Macaca fascicularis: one gene and its partners. The protein of the gene in region 3 interacts with the protein of the main gene of each other region in a biochemical or structural test. Links are inferred from orthologs where the notes say so. Each region holds a gene or a part of one and is shown on either strand. Other genes may lie near its edges.

Region 1 (4,295 bases), about 92 Mb from region 3:
AATTATTAAATCTTAGTAAGAATCACTTAGTAAGTAGTTATGACAGAGATATTCTGCAAAGCCATGTACCTTTTCCCCCTCATTGTTTGACTCGAATATATAGCAGACTGATGACAGATTACTTTCACTTCTCCCACTTGATGTCCGAAGAACAAATCCAAAAAGGCGCTTATTTTCCTGGTGTGTAGCATACAAAACTACACAAGGTAATGGAAACTGCCACAGAAAACATCAGAAGCAAACATGAGATTTTACAAGTCATTACAGCAGCACTTGTGACAAACTCATAAGCTAAGTTCTAAAAATATAAATATTGTAATATATTAAAGCCAATTATTTTAACAGACTGGTAGTGCAGAAACAAGTAATGTCATATTTGGTTTGAATTAACAAGCAGAAAAAGAGGTTGTTGAATATTACATTTATTTTATTAGTCATTAACACATTTTACAAAGTCAAAAAGAACTGTTAAAAAATTACAAAAAGAATTGTGTTAATTCTTTTAAGTTACATAAAATGTTCAATGATAATTCTTTTAAGTTACATAAAATGTTCAATGATAACACAATGATAAGAATTGTGTTAATTATTTTAAGTTACATAAACTGTTCCATGATAACTTTTTGGAGATGGCCACAGACTTAACTATAACAGCCAAAGACCAATCATAGCTGATCCTATCACACTTGAATATACAGGATTAGGATTATTATCAAATTGTAAAATGTGTATATATACAAAGGGACCTAAAACAAAGCTTAAATCATGTGGAACTCACCGTGAGCCTTGTAACTTGTGTCTGTGGATCAATTAACCTAAAATAATAATTTAAAAATTGGAAAACAAATTTTAATTAGGCTGAAATCATGTACATGTTTTTTCTACAGCTTTTTAAGGGAGGGTTTTACTTACTTTAAACAGTCACAAGTGACTAATAAATGCGATTCTGTCATCCGAAAGATGTTATGGATGGCCCGGGCAGCTAAGATTTGGCGCATAGTTTCATAAACAACATCTGGATGGTCATCTGATTTCACCTCCATTGAACCAAGGAATCGGACAATAAATAACTGATGAAGAATAGAATCTATAACAGAACAAGGTGTATTATATATTTTTAAATGCCATATTTCTTTTCCAAAAGAATAAAATACATTGCCTCCTTTTAGATTTTCCAGTGAAAAATTCAACAACTTAAGGGATACATTTCAAAATAACTCCTAACTACAGCATTCCAAGTTACAGGAAAATTAGGGTTTAAAATTCAAATAGCTAAAAGTAATGCTTCAACAATTGGTGGTTCTGAGGCCAGGCGTGGTGGTTGACACCTGTAATCCTAGCACTTTGGGAGGCTGAGGCAGGAGGATCCCTTGAGCCCAGGAGTTCGAGACCAGCCTAGGCAACATAGGGAGACCCTGTCTCTTAACACACACACACACACACACACAACTGGTGGTTCTTACAGCATTTCTGTAAGTTTGGAATTAAAATGAATAGTTAGTGGTGGAAAAACAAAATTTATGCTCCAGTACCAGCAGTGAAACATCAGCTGTTAGGAAAAGCTTGAAAGGTATCTTAGGCACTGAGAATTTGACTATAAGGTCACAAGTGTGAGTCTATAGTTTTGTATGAATCACAACATCTTAAGTCAGATTAAGTTCTGTTGTTTCAAGTGTACTATAAGTAGAGGAAATTTTGAAGTAAAGATAACATGAAAACTGAGCTTAGCAGCAGAACAAATATAAACAATAAATTCTTCAGTTTGCTGAGAAGCAGTTCTAAAATATGAATGCTGCACATCTGTGTTACCTTCAGTTTCAGATTTTATAATTCCCCCAGATTCTCCAAATGGATTTGTACGCCTAAAAAGTTCAGAAAAAAATATGAACAAATGATCAGTTACCATGAGCCACATAGAAGAATATAATCATTAAAACCAGAGTTAACATTGTAAAAAGAAAGCTCTAAAATGCCCCATCCTGTTAAGAAACACTATTGATCACTAAATTACTATGATGAAGGCCTCTGTTGTCACACATTAACTGATCAATGTTCATGCACTTTAGAAGACACAGATGAATTGGAAGTTTAGCCATACACAACAAAAAATCAACATAATAATAAACCATGTTGCAAAGGTTCTTGAATTTAAATAAACCAGCACAGAGGAACACTGATTTAACTGCAATCTTAGCTGCTTGAGAAAAATGCTAAGAATGTCCTGGAATTGTAAAAACTTCTTTTTAGGTTTTTACTTACTTCTGTAAGTATATGTTGCAAGTTAGCTATAATCTAGTTTAAACCTGTATTTCTCAAAGCACAAGTAACAATGCAAAAAGAAAAGTGAACTGGAGATGGAAGTTACCTTCCTCCTTAGTGTGCATGGCTTGTGGCACACCACAGTGAAGGAAGAAAAGTACAACTCAAAGTAGGTTTTGAAGGGCTGGGCATTGTGGCTCACACCTGTAATCTCAGCACTTTGGGAGGCCGAGGCAGGAGGACTGCTTGAGCCCTGGAGTTTGAGATCTGCTTGGGCAACACAGGAAGACCCCCTCTCTACCAAAGAAATTTAAAAATTAGTTGGGTGTGGTGGTGCACGCCTGTGGTCCCAGGTATTCAGGAGGGTGAGGCAGGAGGATCCCTTCAGCCCAGGAGGTCAAAGCTGCAGTGAGCTATGATCATGCCACTGCACTCCAGCCTGGGCAACAGAGTGAGACCCCGTCTCAAAACAAAACAAAATAGGTTTTGGAAGCAGAGAGCTAAGTGGTTCTAAAAAAACACTGACATTAAGATAAAAGGAAATTAATATCTGTAGTATGTGTTCTATTACATCAAATGCTAAGTGTATTTCTGTGATGTGTAAATGACTTTTTGTGGGTCATAGCCATGTATATCCAAATTAATATATGATCAATTCATTAGGTGTCCATTCTACTTAATAAATGATTTGCCTTAAGTCATGTTTCCTTCAACCACAGCCAAGGAAAAATTTTAACTGCTTTGGTGAGAATATTCATTATATAAATAAAAGATGATTCATTAATAATTCATAATAGTGATAATGTTTTAGTAACTTCCTGAAGATTTCTTTTTCTGGTATAAGATAATATTTTCTAATAAACCCATATCACGTGTATTATCCTCAAGAATTTTTAAAAAATTGTCATGACCTAAAGACAGGGCTATCAACTTTCTTCTGCAATTTTAAGAGCAAATATCCAAGAAGTAGACCTAATAAGCAATACAGAATTAAATGTTTTGAAACTAAATTATCTTAACTCCTTAACTGAGGCAGAAGACATAGAGGAAAAACCTGCATGGTTCTTCCCTAACTATCAGTATGTTACGTAATTAAACAAAGAAAGTACAACACAGCTGATGTACATGATAAATAAGAGATGACTCTCAAATGTAGACAGCGGATTATAAGCCTTACAGACCACAGCACAATGTACCTGTGATGCTATCACCCACCTGCCTCCCTGGCCAAAGGCTTTTGCCTGGCCAGGCTGATCTTCACACACAGGAGAAATTATGTCAAACTGTATTGGGGTGTCTGGGGCAACAAGGGAATCTAGAGACAGGGCAGCCAAATTTGTAGACTCAGATCCTAAGGATCCTGAACTGCTGGTTCGAGCTGTCGGTGGCCGAGATTGTCTAAGCATAAAACAAGAAGGCATTCCATTTAATTTTCCCTTTTGGATATTAAATATTTAACAAACTATGAAAAAAGAAAACACAACATTATAAGTCAATGAGAAGTCTTATGTTTCAGTACAAACATAATCCCAGATCACAGATACTTTAAATAGCCCATATCCTTCTTTAAATAACTCACAGTGTGGTAACTTACCCTGCGGCTGGCCGCAGGCTCTCGTGCCTCTGCTGGAAAGATGGGGAAGGAGTGACAGCTTCCAGAGCTGACTGATTTACTCGTGCAGCAGTTTCCTATTTTAATTTTTTTTAAAAAGGACTAATATTAGTAAAGTAAGCAAACCAAAAGTTTGAATGTAACTCTGAATTGTTAGAATGCTTCTGGTTACACTTAAAATATAAATTGGAGCTACTAAAGTAGTTCTGTATTCCCTCACCTTAATATTAGGGTACATAACTGATTTCCTCTTCCTATAAACTAGCAAAAAATCTGATTTTCTACTTATATGTAATTATTAGATATTGCTTTTTCTTTAATTTTTTAAAATTCCCTGCAAGTGTTGCACACTTTAAATTTTTAAAGAAAATATTGTTTTCTTTACATTTTTAACTACCAGATTTTTTTTATTAAAGTTTGTATT
Region 2 (4,295 bases), on a different chromosome or scaffold from region 3:
GTAGCTTTCTTTTCTAAACAATTCCCACAAGTACATTCATAAGCTATGCAAAAAATAAATCAAAATACCTCCCACAGAGGATAACAGTAGAGCTTTGCGCTTATATCCTAGGAACTGTCACTGTTAGAACTGACCTCAAGACTTAAGTTTCTATGCAGAATATATAGATTCCTATGGGTTTCAAGAAAGTTAGATGCTTCCTTACACCATTTTAGATATCTGTTCCTTTCTGTTCTCACAAATTTGACCCACAAGTTAACTCTCGTGTATAGTCTACAGTAGGTTTTACCAAATTCTTTTCTAAAAAAGGCAAAAACATCATGTAAACTAACACCAAACATATAGCCAAAAGGAAATTCCAGAAGTGTTCTTTACCCAATGCAGTAGATATCAGGAGGACTGGGATCACAGTTCAGCCAAGGTTCTAACCCGCTATCTGGAGACTGGCCATTCACATTCCAAGTTCCAACAAAAAACCTAATACATAATATGAAAAGATAATTTGAAAACAAAGATGAAGTATAAACCAACAGAAGGTCTTTCTTTTCACTTCTATACAAAGGTATGTTCACAATATGCTAACATAATTCCTCAAAATGTTTTGCTACATATGTAAGAAAGATCTTTTGCATCTAGAACACAAAGGCAGTGGGCTTATTTTCTCTAAATTTTACATTAAGTAAAACTACAGAGGAAACCAAGTCTCTATTTTTAAAAATGCAAAGGTAATTGCTATACCACATTTCCTTTCAATTAAGCTCCATCCAAACTCATACTTGAAAGGAGAGCTTATGGATGGGAAAGAGGTATCTTCATGCTGTAAGCTAGTCAAATATGGATAAATGTTCTATAAGGGGCTGTAGTTGACTCCAGAAATTCACTTCCTGAAGGATTACAAGGACATCTGTGTAGGAAATTCTGATGAGGCAGACATAGTATTAAGGGGGAAAGCAGAAGGGAAAACTCATGACTGTCTTAACTGTTTACACACAAATATAAGCATAGTGGGCAATATGAGGAACTGGAAGTTTTAGCACAGTGATATAGTTATGATTGAATTAGAATAAATGAGGCATGACAGGAAAGCAGATGGGACTAGAATCTTGGACTAGAAGGGTACATTCTGCTCATGAATAACAAAGAAAGGTGGTGTTGCTTCATGCATTGGTGATACATGCCACATGGTACCTCACATGCAGCATATACACACAGGTCCAGAAAAGAAGATGTCAACAAGTAAAGATGAAATAAAAAATAATACAGATGAAAGAATCCAAGATAGACCTCCCAATCAAGAGGACTGGGTGAAACTTTCTTTACCAAAGTAAGTTAAGAGCTAGTGGTAATGATGGACTTTAACTTTCTAATATTGGCTGGAAAAAAAAAAAAAACTTAGCAGGCCAGATATATAAACACGCTTGCTTATGGAATGTGCTAGGGGAAAATTCCCTAGTACACGTGACCTTGATTTGGTTCTCTAGGACTCGATAGAGACATTAGTAGACATGGCATAAATTAGTAGTTAGAAAGTCCAAGGGAAGGCCAAGCACAGTGGCTCAAGCCTATAATCCCAGCAGTTTGTGAGGCCGAGGCAGGTGGATTGCCTGAGTTCAGGAATTTGAGACTAGCCTGGGCAACACAGTGAAACCCAGTCTCTACTAAAAATAAAAATAAATAAACAAACAAATAATTTTTAAAAAAATAGCCGGGAGTGGTGGCAGGCACCTGCAGTCCCAGCTACTCAGGAGACTGAGGCAGGAGAATGGTGTGAACCTGGGAGGCGGAGCTTGCAGTGAGCTGAGAGCGTGCCACTGTACTCCAGCCTGGGTGACAGAGTGAGACTCCGTCTCAAAAAAAAAAAAATTAGCTGGATGTGGTGGTGTGCACCTGTAGTCCCACCTACTTGCAGGGCTGGGGTGGGAAGATTGCTTAGGACTAAGAGGTTGAGGCTACAGTGAGCCATGATCTTCTCTCCAGCCTGGGTGACAGAAAGACCCTGACTCATAAAAAAAGAGAAAATCCAAGGGAAACTGTAGCATCTGCATTATTTTTGATATGCATGTTATTGGCCAGCATAGAGACAGGAGCTTGAAACAGGCGACCGTTTCTTTTTATCATTGATTCTTAATTAGGCTAATGTCTTAAATATCAACAGGCCACTGTCTGTTATACCTACTAACTTTTTAGACTCAGGAAGCAAAAGAGACACTAACCTGAAAGTCTGAATGTTGACATATTCTTTCTCTCGCTTTGCCAGGATATGTTTGATGAGACCCTCCCGCTGCCCAGATTGGGTATTTGGTACAAAGAGCTTCCGCATGGTGTTGGTCACTTTGGGCTGCTCCTTATTAGAAGCTTCTTTTTCACGTGGAAGCCTAGCAAATAAACGAGAGATTCAAAAGTAAAATTGTTTAAACTATAATTCTCCTACAGGGGAAATATGTTTTCACATGGGACTTACATTTTATTCACTAAAGGGGGTGGAGGTGGGGGTTCCCGGTGAATCCCAGTAGGCTGATTTTGTGAATTTATTTTCTTGTCCAAATTCATAGAAGAAAAATTGTCTTCAAATCCGAGAAGCCCTGAAAGACACAGACCCCAAAGTCAAAGGGGGAAAAAATGTAACATCCAACATATCCAGGGTAACAGGGCTTTGATTTGATCACCATTTGATCAGTGGTATTACTAAACAGAAAGCTACCATAAGGGTAGAAATTACTTGGATTGGGGCTCGAAGAAGCATACCCATTCCTGAAGCACTGATATACTAATTAGAACAACAGTTTACAATAACTTGGAACAGACCAGTAATAGCTAACATTTATTGAAGACTTAGCACAACGCCTGGTTGACAGTAAGGGAATATATCATTATCTCATTTAATCATCACAAAAAACCCACAAAGTTAGTCCTATTAAAAATCTTCCCATATTACAGAAAAGAAAATGGAAGTTCAGAGTTGTTGAGTAACTCGATGAAGGTCGTATAACTAGTAAGTCCTTGACTTGGGATTCAAACCCAGGCTGTCTGGCTCTGGAGCTTGTACTTTCTACTATCCTGCTAAGCTGGCTCCTGAACAGCTACCATGCTACAGAAAGGATAAGGAGTGAATGCTGGTCAGTGGGTCTGGACTCGATAAAACTACTCTGCAGGAGAATGTGTCTGACATTGGCTTTAATCTACATCACCATATTTGGCCTGATAAAATCCACTGACTCTGCAATGACCATAGCAATAAGGGAACCAGGAACTTTTTAGTACCTGAAAAAACAGAAGGTTTGTCCTTAGTGTCTAATTTCTGGTACCAGCTAGATGAGTCCTTTTGCTCTGGAACAAGAAGTTGTGACTGAGCTGGAGAGATAAGGTTCACGGTCAGAAACTGGGAAGTCTTTCATTGAGTAGAATTTACCATAGCCAAAAGCCATTCTTTCAACATTCGTTAAAAGCAGGGGCCAGCACCATCTTTGGATACAGTGGAAGAAATTAAGGAAATGAGGGCAGCTCTGGGGTCATCTGCGGGCAGAAGGAGAATTATAGTCTATGGTAATCTATGCTTGCCATGACACTGAATATTCTGAAAACTGGCCTAGTGTCCTAAAAGCTAGGCAGATTTGTTCCCTAACCTATCCCTGTGTTCACTCCTGAGGAAAAAAAAAAAATCAGCTATCAGGGCTTAAAGGGTGAGGTATTTTGCCAATGGCCACTTTCCTCTGTATCAGCATGTCAGAATTCCACTCCCATTGAAATAGAAGAAAGAAAATTGCTGAGTCTTGAGTTACCTTTCTGAGCAGCAAGGACAGCTGAGAGGAACTTCAAACAGTGTTCCTCATCAGGGATTTCAAAGTGGCGCTCTCTGATCCAGTCCCCCTGAACCCGAATTTTGCAGCCACCTAAAAAGAATTGAAATCCATACATATACTGCTATGGGATAAAATGTTTTACTGGGATCATATTCTCAACTTATCAGGTTAATAGAAGGTCCAGAACACAAATATTCCAGATCTATAATATAGGAAGCACATGTACAAGATCAAGAGAGTCAGTACGACGGTGGTGGAAGGGGTGATGCAGAGAGGGAACCCTAAGGGAAGTGAGAACTCCTAGGGCTGATGAACCATGTCAATGAGCAGCCCAATCTAAGGATATGACACACACTAAAATCATACTTTCCTGCGTTCTGATCTCTCTCTCAGACATCAAAGCAGGGACCTTCGAATTCTAGCAACAGGTAAATTCCTCAAATCACCCTCCTCCCATTCCTTAGCTAGAAATTCCTACCATTTCAAGTCCAGATC
Region 3 (4,295 bases):
TAGCTCAAACCTTAAAATTCTTAAATGTTTTACATCTACTCTAGCTCCTAAAGGTGAAAAGCTATGAGTACAGAGCATAAAAGAACAGTTTCCACAGCTATAATCATAATGGTACTGTCATACCTCCTGAATAGTATTCACATGGGGTCAGCACAGTGAAAAAGTACCCAATAAAGATTAACAGAAAGGCCACGGGCAGTGGCTCATGCCTGTAATCTCAGCACTTGGAGAGCCCAAGGCGGGCGGATCACTTGAGGCCAGGAGTTCAAGACCAACCTGGCCGACATGGTGAAACCCCATCTCTACTAAAAATACAAAAATTAGCCAGGAGTGGTGGCTTGCGCCTATAGTCCCAGCTACTTGGCGGGCTGAGGCATGAGAATCGCTCAATCCTGGGAAGCGGAGGTCGCAGTGAGCCAGGGCGGCACCACTGCACTCTAGCCTGGGCGACAGAGACCCTGTCTCAAAAAAAAAAAAAAAGGATTAATAGAAATTTGGATGCAAATTCATTTTTGTTTTTAAATAGGAAGCTCTACAAATAGAAATGAAAATCTTTACGAAAAATTCATTAATGAAATCAAGACAATCTAACTGGTGTTACATGGAGATTATATGGAGATACACACGTATCAGAGATATGTTTATGATACACAGGATATGGGTTACATTTTTCTTTTAAACACCCTTCTTGAGCTATCATTAGGAAAAAATAAACTTAGAAGTGGATTACCCAAAACAAGATAAAAATTCTAACCTTAAGCTCTTGCAAAGCTCCCCAGGAATTAAGTTCTATACTACAGTACTTCAGATTTTTTATTATTTTAATAAAATAATAAAGAGAGGAGAAAAGAGTAGCATATAGTAACTCCCAAACGTATTTGGCCCAGGTATTTAACCCAGAATGCATATATACTTTGGGAAATGCTGCCATTAACAGTAAAGTAAGTGGGTGTACATGATCTGGCATTCTTTAACCTTTTCCTACTGGACTAACAGTTAGCTTTAGATTAAATTGCTTCTGGAGGAAGCGAAACCTTCTAGAGAAGCAGTATTTCATTATTAAAATGGATATAGTGTATTAACAACAACAACAACAAAATCACATGTGGATGTACCTTCAAGGAAAAAAAAGATCACAAAGGATGTCTAATATATTGTGTATTAACATTTTTTAAAATGTCAAGACTTCTGACTCAAAAGCTCCATGATGCTTTCTGATGTTCAGCAATTAGAAAAAACATAAAATATTCTAATATAACATTGTAACAAGATATACAAAGGCCAGGAGGTAGTAGAGTTCTGTAACTTATCTTACTAGAATGGGTCTAAGATTATGAATAACATTCTCAAGCATATTTGCTGAAGAACACTCACTAAATGCACAGTATGAAGTTTTGCTTCTGAAAGACAGATTCCAAGAAGTTGCCACATGCCAGCTGGTATCTACCTGTCTTATTTCCACAGTTTGACTTTAATTTTACAGGATGGGGTTAAAACATATACACAAATACCTCAGAAAAGAGCATTGCTTAATTATGTATCACTTGCAAAATATCGTGAATCTCAAACTGTGTCATTCTTCCCACATTTCATCTAATTGAAAAGCATCATTTCACAGATTAAACAGCGGCCCAAAAGAGGCTCTCTTGTCCCACAGCTATATAATTATAGGTTTCTTTGATTAAAGTCAATTTTTTTTTGTTTTTTTTTTTTAAAGAGATGGGTTCTCATTGTGTTGCCCAGGCTAGACTTGAACTCCTAGGCTAAAATAATCCTGCCTCAGCCTCCAAATACCTGGGACTAAAGGAATGCAGCACCACGCCCAGCTAAAATTCAATTTTCCCACTTCATGCCCTCTCTTGACAATACCGTACTGTTCGCTGTCTCCTTTTCACCCTGCATCTTACCTTCCCCTCATCTCTGTCGCACCATGACCACCTTGTCAGTGCCTATTCTTTCCCTTCTCATTTCATCTTTTTCTTCAGGTTCCATTTTCCTGTCATGTCCCTTTCCATTAATCACTTTTTCTCTTCCCTCAGCTTAGGAGCATTCTTACATGTACATCTTAGCAGGGAGCACCTATAATCACAGCTACCTGGGAGGTTGAGAATGGAGGCTTACTTGAGGCCAGGAGTTCAAGACCAACCTGGAAACACAGCGAGACTCTGACTCTTAAAAAAAAAAAACAAACTTGCCTGGCATGGTGGCAAGCACCCTTAGGCCCAGCTACTTAGTGGGAGGCTAAGGCAGGATGATCATTTGAGCTGAGAGTTCCAGGCTGCAGTCTGCAGTGAGTTATGATCCGGACACTGCACTCCAGCCTAGGCAAGATTCCATCTCTTAAATAACAACAAAAAAAGTACATCTAGCAGTATTTAATTATATTTAATTAATTTTACAAATAAGTATAATGATTTACAAATAGTTCAGTTATATAGATCAGAATTTAAGGTTACTTTTTTTTACTATTCATTTTAAACCAATATAATTGAGCACAAACATGTACTGTATTAATTTGAAGAAGCTTCTACTTGTTAGCTAGAAATAGGTATCAGGTCAAGTCATATTACTTGAGACACTGATTCTACTCATGTTTTTATCTGTATTTTAGCGACAATATAACCACAAGGGATTAACCAAACAATCAAATGTAAAAACACATCATTTTCACAAAAATAAAGGCAAGTTTTAAAGCTTAAGGTAAGCTGAACAGCTCTTTTCTTCACTCTATGACTTAGCTATTCATAATCACACAATTGGAACATCAAAATACTTTGTCAACGTATGATTCGATTAAATGAAGCAGGGAAAAAAGAAAATCTCACCCCCAATGGTACTCTCTTGAAATTCATGAAATTGGCCTTTCACAAAACGAAGCACTAGGCTTGATTTGCCAACAGCAGACTCTCCCAGAAGTACTAGTTTGAACTGGCATATTTTATTTCCAGTATTTGGCCCGTTGGGTCTTGTTGCGCCTCGATTAGCCATGTCCAAATTTGAAATAAGTCCTTAATTTCAGATTCTTCAATGAACTTCCAGAATTCAAGGGGTAAATATTCTTCTTTCTGGAGGTAAAGAAACCTGTAAAGAAACAATTATGAATTAAATATACAAATCAGTAAAGCAAATTTACTATTAATCACTTTAAATTTTGCCTATAGCACGATTATCTTAAGCTCTACTAGACCTTCAATGTCACTATCTTTTAAAGGAAATTTAAAAGTATAGGATTTGAGCCCAAAATCATTTTTTCTTTTTTTTTTTTAAAGGCTAACCTCAAAGCTTCAACTTTGTGCCAGGCAGTACTTTAAGTACTTAACTTCTCAACAATCCTATAAAATGAGATATTATTACAATCCTTATAAATGAGGAAACAAGCACAGAGATGTTAAGAAGCTTAATTGAGGTCACATAGTTACTGTCACAGAAGTGACACACAGCTGAGTTTCAAACCCAGGCAACCTGAGAGATGACTTGAGTTCAAGTTTTGTAGCCAGGCTACTTGGGTTAACATTGTTTTGAGAAAAATTATGTTATTAATATATGGGAAGCTTTTAGAACAGATCCTAGAGTTTAGTATTATTTGAAGTCTTCTGTTAAACGATGCATTTTTCATTTAATTAACGGTAATTTTGGACAACAAATATTTTCAGTATCCCAGGTTTGTGTGCCTAATGGCAGACAGACTTAAAACTGTTTCTTCATCTGCTCAAGTATACCATACACAGAAATGCTAACAGTTGTTCTCTATGTGGTGGGATTATTACTGACTTATTTACTTACACTAATTGTAACTTTTTTGTAGTTTTTAGAAGAAAAAATGCATGACTTTTTTTTTTATTATGAATTTTTTTGAGAAAGGGTTTTGCTCTCTCACCCAGGCTGGAGTGCAGTGGCATGGTCATAGCTCACTGTAACCTACACCTCCTGGGCTCAAGCAATCCTGCCACAACCTCCTGAGTAGCTGGGACTACAGGCGCTCAGAACCATGCCAGGCCACTTTTTTGGTAGAGACACTGTCCTGCTATGTTGCCCAGCATGATCTTGAATTCCCGGGCTCAAGCAATCCTCCTGCCTCAGCCTCGCAAAGGGCTGGGATTACAGGTGTGAGCCACCACACCCAGCCTGCAGGCCATTATTTTTTATTTAAACAACACATTAAAAAATCTAGCCTGAATGGCAACTTCTGTGCTAATTTTTAATCTCTAAGGAATTAGTGAATATTTGAAGAACCTTTTTCAATCCACTCACAAACCAATCTTAACAGTTTCCTTCTATCTTTAATCAAAATCCGA
Region 4 (5,046 bases), on a different chromosome or scaffold from region 3:
TGGTAAATCTTCCTTTGATTCATTCCTATCAGTTATGTTAGTAATATTAATTAAAGTGGTAGAGCCAACAAGGTGGTAGGTTTCATTCTCACTGAAAAACCTTGGGTAATCTATTTATAGAGGGTTTTATAACTATCTGTAATCCCAGGTTAAAAAGGCTTCACTCTGTTTCTCCTTAGGAATTTCAGAACAGCCCTTCTGAAGTATCTTCTCCTGGGGCACTTCATTTTTCCTTTTGGTCTAAGTTACTTGTTGGAAGCTCTTTAAGTGCCAAAGCAGGGCTCTGCAGAAATTTTCTGAAGTATTAAATGAGAATAAATCTTATCCTTCAAATTTTCTTTGCAATCAACCTCCCCAAAATGAGTTTTTCAACTACTAATTGAACTCCAATTCTTTTTGTAAATTAGAACACTGTGGTGGCGTCATTGCCTCATCAGTTACAAGAGTGAAGTGGGTATTATAAACTTCAGACCTTCACAATGAATAAAGCATCATGCAAAGCTAATCTTTTAACGATTATAGACAAACGAATTTTATTATCATATTGGCATTTGTATTAGTTGCTATTCCTACCACCATGTCTAAACATTTATATTATATGCAAAAGATCCACATAATTTACCATTTGTGTGTGTTTCACTATTCGAACAGGCCGCAGCAACTATAATAGCTGTGAAAGTAATTAAAATATTACTTGGGTATTACTAATTGTTCTGTAGACAAAGATAAAATCTGAAGATCATTAGCAAATACAACATTACCTTTAAGCTGAGTTGTTAATATGGAACCCTTACATACATACCCAATACTAAAATACAGCTAACTCTGTTTTAAGATTATGGGTCATGTAGCCCATTCTAAACAAAATGTTCAATAATCAATAAATCACTCATTGATAGGTTAACAAAGATATTCAATGCTGAATGTCTGAGAGTTAAAGACAACATCTGCATAGCATTCAACATATATAACCACTTCTAATTACTCATATGGGAAACTGTCCTTTAAATGAGAATATTCTGATGCCATGAAGGAGGTCCAAAACAGCATTTCCAGATTGCTCTTTTCTAATTTTGAAGGTGCTTCTCTGGGCTTTCTTGGTTTTTGCCTTCCTCAGAGGACTCTAGTGTGGCCACTATTACATTATTGGTTCCAGAAGACTCTGGCTGCTTATCATCGCCATCAAAGATAATGTCTTCTGGATTTGGAGGTGGAGGGCAGAATTCTTCAGTTGGAAAGATCTCCTGGAAAAGTGTTTCAGCTTGCTTGACGGCATGCTCATTTCCCAGGCCACAGTCAGGCCCAGAGCAGACATAAACATTGGAAGGCAAGCCATTATATGAGCTTCTGCTGATTCCCGAGGAATCTCTCATATTAAAATAAAGAGCCCACAAGAGTCTTGGCTTTGTAAGTTCTTCCTTGTTTATTTCTGTTTCAGTATATGGAGTGAATAATTTCTTCACCACTGATTCTAAGTCTTCTCTTGCTGTTTTAGAAGATGAACATGTCAAATGTACCAGATAGGTGTCCTTCATGCATGTCATGGTTGAAGAACATAATTCAGTGACCCGTACAGCACAAGCTCCTGGCTCTGCTGGAGGAACTATCAGAATGGAAGTCTGCTGATCTGAATCTGTCTTTAGTATAGACTGATCTGTAATGAGTACTGCCCTAGAGATCTGCTTATACTGCACATTTGAGCATGTTTCCTCAGAAAGGTAACTGTCTTCCACAATAAAATATTTAGCATTTATTCTTTGACCAAAGTGATCTATAATTGCTTTACATCGTCCAGATTCTTTGTCGACTACAAAGCATTGTACTTTATGACGAAGACAATAGATTCCACCAAAAACTGCACACATCCTACAGAAACATTGGGGAATTTCTCCTTGGCCATACAAGGGAAATAAAAAGGGAGTGTTGCCAAACCGTCCGAGACACTGAAGGAAGTTTTTAATTGCGTTAAGGCCATCTATTGTAGTGCAAGATGATTCTGATGTCATTGCAATTGAGTGCAGTACAAAATGTTGAAGGTTGGGAGTTAGTTTTTTAGTTTTTAAGTATTCTGAAAATGAACACTGCCTGAAAGCTTGGTATTCATCAGGATGTTGTTCATACTCTAAACAAAATGTGAGAAATTTCATTAGCATCCTCTTTTCAACCATGGTGAGTTCCTTGCTATTGAAGACATCTGCTCTGGAACAAGGCACTTGTTCTACCTTTCCTTCCCGAAATGCAAGAATCCTAGTGACATTTTTGAATTCTACATAACGACTAACATCTGATTTGATTAAAAGATCAATTAGCAATCCTTGAGAATATAGCAGTTTTGATACCAAATCAATATTAAACCTCCTCCCTTCTTTAACTATTTGAAGGTAAGTAATCCTATTTCTAATTGGTTGATTGGCATTATCTTCTACTGTAGATTTGCTTTCATCTTTATTTCCATCTTTATCTGAAACTGTGTGCATACAAGTTTTATCTCCACAATACTTTTCCTTCTCCACTGATTCCTCTACATCAGTTACTTCTAGTGAAATCTCTCTATCACTTTTCTGAGTGTGTTTGGCAGACATTTCATCGCTATTAAAATTTGATGACTGGCTGTCTTCAGGCAAGCCTGCGGAATCCAGAACTTCAGTGAAGGTACTAGACACCCCTGAAGAAGGATTTTTCTGCAGAGCACCAACCTCTTCAACATTGTCCTCCATATCCTGACTGGCATAACAAAAAGCTTCTGTGTGTTGGATAGTTTCATCCTTCTTGCGAAGAGAGATGGCTTCTTCTGTTTCATGGATCAGGTCCTGCCATTCAACAGTACTTTCTTCCCCAATGTCATTGTTTTGCTGATGCTCCTTCAACCAGGTTAGCAATCCTGAAAAGCTGAAACTAGCCCAGTTGCCTCCATAGTAACTTCTTGAATCAATATGCAGAACTCTCTGACCAATTCTTGAACATGCAGCTGCAAGGATGGATTCGGGCAAACCTGTCCCTATTATAACCACATCGAACTCTGTGGGAAGACTGTCCGCCATTCTAGGAAGTAAAAGTGTCTGGTGACAGTTGCTGATGAAAGAAATGAGGTGTGATTATGCTGTAATAAAATCTGTCCTTCTGATGTTCCAGTTTATCCCAGAAGCAATGAAGTTGCAGGTCCTAGCTGTTTTAACAGTTACCCTTTTAAAATATATTTTTTTCCTTATAAGTCAGTAGCATAAAAACATGAGCAAGTACATCTAATCACATCTGAGAATACTAAAATGGATGTGTGGTTTCATTTCTGTATTTCATCTTAGCAGTAAATGTCAAAATGCATCATATATGCATTTGTGACTGGAACTCTTCTCTGAAAGAAGAAAATTCAAGAAAGAATACATTGTAAACAATATAAGAGAAAAATAATTTCATGCAACAATGACAATCCATTGGAGTATGACTTCTTATTTGGACATAAACCTCCACTAAAGCATGTCTTAAATGCTTTCTCACATATTTTCTAATTTCTTGAAAATGGACAATAGAGATATAACAGCCCTCCCAAGAATCAGGCAACATAGTAATAGAGAATGAACATAATGTTCCACAAAAATAAAGAAGAAATAACATAATACAATTCTCTAACTTTAGCTTTTAAGAAAACTATCATGTGAATAAATCTATACACAGCTGTGAGCTTAGACTAAAAGGAACGTATGGCTCCATTGTTTATAGAAACAGATTATACATTAGGTACATACTGCCATGATTAAAAATATTTCTGTGGCCATTACAGTGTGTGTGTGATTCCCGAATAGCTGAATATAAGACCTTTTCATGCCACAACCACCTTAGGATCTCATGATAGCAACATGAGACTATTTCTACTCAATTACTAGTAAGATTATAATAAAAGGATTAATTCAGTAAAACAACTGGCCATTTAAAAATATTTAGGCTCATAACAGAATAGGCCTGAGGAGGAAAACCTATATATTAAAAATATGTATATGAATGTACACATGTATATAAGTGTAAGTAAAAAAGGAAAAAAAGTATGTAAGTAAAAAAGGAAAACTCCTGGTTTCAAATTAAAATATCTTAACATAAATAATGCCTACTTATTTAGGCTTGTCTAAATAAGGCTTGTCTCTGCAACCCTGAATCTCTATCCCAAGCAAAAGGTCTATGTAAACATCCTCTGCCAAGACTAATGTTGTTTGTTCTTATTTTTGAAGGGTAAGTAAAGAAAAAAAAAAGGCTCTCCTGTTAACTTTGAGCATAATGCTGGTTACACTCCATGTGCAGAAGACATCTGTGTGATGCCACGTGTGGCCAGAGGCAGAACGGCCAAGGTACTGAAGAGCATACTCACCGGAAAGTCTTTAGGCTAAAGTATTACATACACCTTACTGCTAAACTTTGTAACATTCATCACTGCACTGGTTTGAGCTCTGGTTTTCGCTACTGTTAAACCTACTGAAATATAAATCAGTACAAGCTAGACCTGTCTAGGCCAAGATGACTAATAATCCTGGATATTGGTAAAACAGGCCATTCAATTGGAACTTAAATTGCGTAGGGCACAGACCTTTAGTTTAACTAAAACGGCAATCCTAACAGTCCTGTCTAGTCAAAGCCTCTGTCTCAAAAATATCAAGGATTCCACTCATTTTTGGCATTCCCTAAGAAGCCAGGAACTAAGTACAGAATGAAACAGTTGCCTGGCCCACTCAAGTATAAATTTAAGTATGTCTGAATTACTTATTCTGCTTCTTCCAGCAGGGTGTGAAGAGGGAGACTGAATCTATGATGGTATCTGAAGAGGTGTAACCATAGTATATGCTGCTTCTTGGCTTAGAAAGATAGGGCTCAGGGTAAGAGTAAGAGCAGAAGACACAGTCAATAAGCCCTAACATCAGGCACGCTCTAACCTACAGATATCAAAGAAGTCATCAAAATGCAAAGCAAGTAGGATGACCTTACAGAGCATTAAGCTGAACTACCCAATAACAGAGATGAGAGAACTGATGGCTGGAGAGATTAAGTGACTTGGGAAAGCCC

Evidence for each region.
Region 1: the proteins of RAB5A (region 3) and APPL1 form a complex in vitro, tested with the Homo sapiens proteins (2 studies listed by BioGRID and IntAct, with this or other methods). The link is inferred for Macaca fascicularis from reciprocal best matches to the Homo sapiens genes RAB5A and APPL1.
Region 2: the proteins of RAB5A (region 3) and OCRL form a complex in vitro, tested with the Homo sapiens proteins (2 studies listed by BioGRID and IntAct, with this or other methods). The link is inferred for Macaca fascicularis from reciprocal best matches to the Homo sapiens genes RAB5A and OCRL.
Region 4: the proteins of RAB5A (region 3) and CHML form a complex in vitro, tested with the Homo sapiens proteins (2 studies listed by BioGRID). The link is inferred for Macaca fascicularis from reciprocal best matches to the Homo sapiens genes RAB5A and CHML.

The regions. Positions count from the first base shown.
Region 1 is NC_088376.1:120,345,523-120,349,817, reverse strand, and holds part of APPL1 (DCC-interacting protein 13-alpha), read right to left. Parts: intron 3,949-4,295; coding exon 3,854-3,948; intron 3,658-3,853; coding exon 3,475-3,657; intron 1,863-3,474; coding exon 1,810-1,862; intron 1,088-1,809; coding exon 913-1,087; intron 816-912; coding exon 779-815; intron 217-778; coding exon 70-216; intron 1-69. UniProt on the Homo sapiens protein: Multifunctional adapter protein that binds to various membrane receptors, nuclear factors and signaling proteins to regulate many processes, such as cell proliferation, immune response, endosomal trafficking and cell metabolism.
Region 2 is NC_088395.1:135,829,775-135,834,069, reverse strand, and holds part of OCRL (inositol polyphosphate 5-phosphatase OCRL), read right to left. Parts: intron 3,891-4,295; coding exon 3,780-3,890; intron 3,352-3,779; coding exon 3,262-3,351; intron 2,583-3,261; coding exon 2,462-2,582; intron 2,376-2,461; coding exon 2,214-2,375; intron 478-2,213; coding exon 376-477; intron 1-375. UniProt on the Homo sapiens protein: Catalyzes the hydrolysis of the 5-position phosphate of phosphatidylinositol 4,5-bisphosphate (PtdIns(4,5)P2) and phosphatidylinositol-3,4,5-bisphosphate (PtdIns(3,4,5)P3), with the greatest catalytic activity towards PtdIns(4,5)P2.
Region 3 is NC_088376.1:28,474,471-28,478,765, forward strand, and holds part of RAB5A (ras-related protein Rab-5A), read right to left. Parts: intron 3,082-4,295; 5' UTR 2,989-3,081; coding exon 2,826-2,988; intron 1-2,825. UniProt on the Homo sapiens protein: The small GTPases Rab are key regulators of intracellular membrane trafficking, from the formation of transport vesicles to their fusion with membranes.
Region 4 is NC_088375.1:7,536,204-7,541,249, reverse strand, and holds the start of CHML (rab proteins geranylgeranyltransferase component A 2), read right to left. Parts: upstream 3,139-5,046; 5' UTR 3,073-3,138; coding exon of another isoform or gene 3,042-3,072; coding exon 1,068-3,041; 3' UTR 1-1,067. UniProt on the Homo sapiens protein: Substrate-binding subunit (component A) of the Rab geranylgeranyltransferase (GGTase) complex. Binds unprenylated Rab proteins and presents the substrate peptide to the catalytic component B.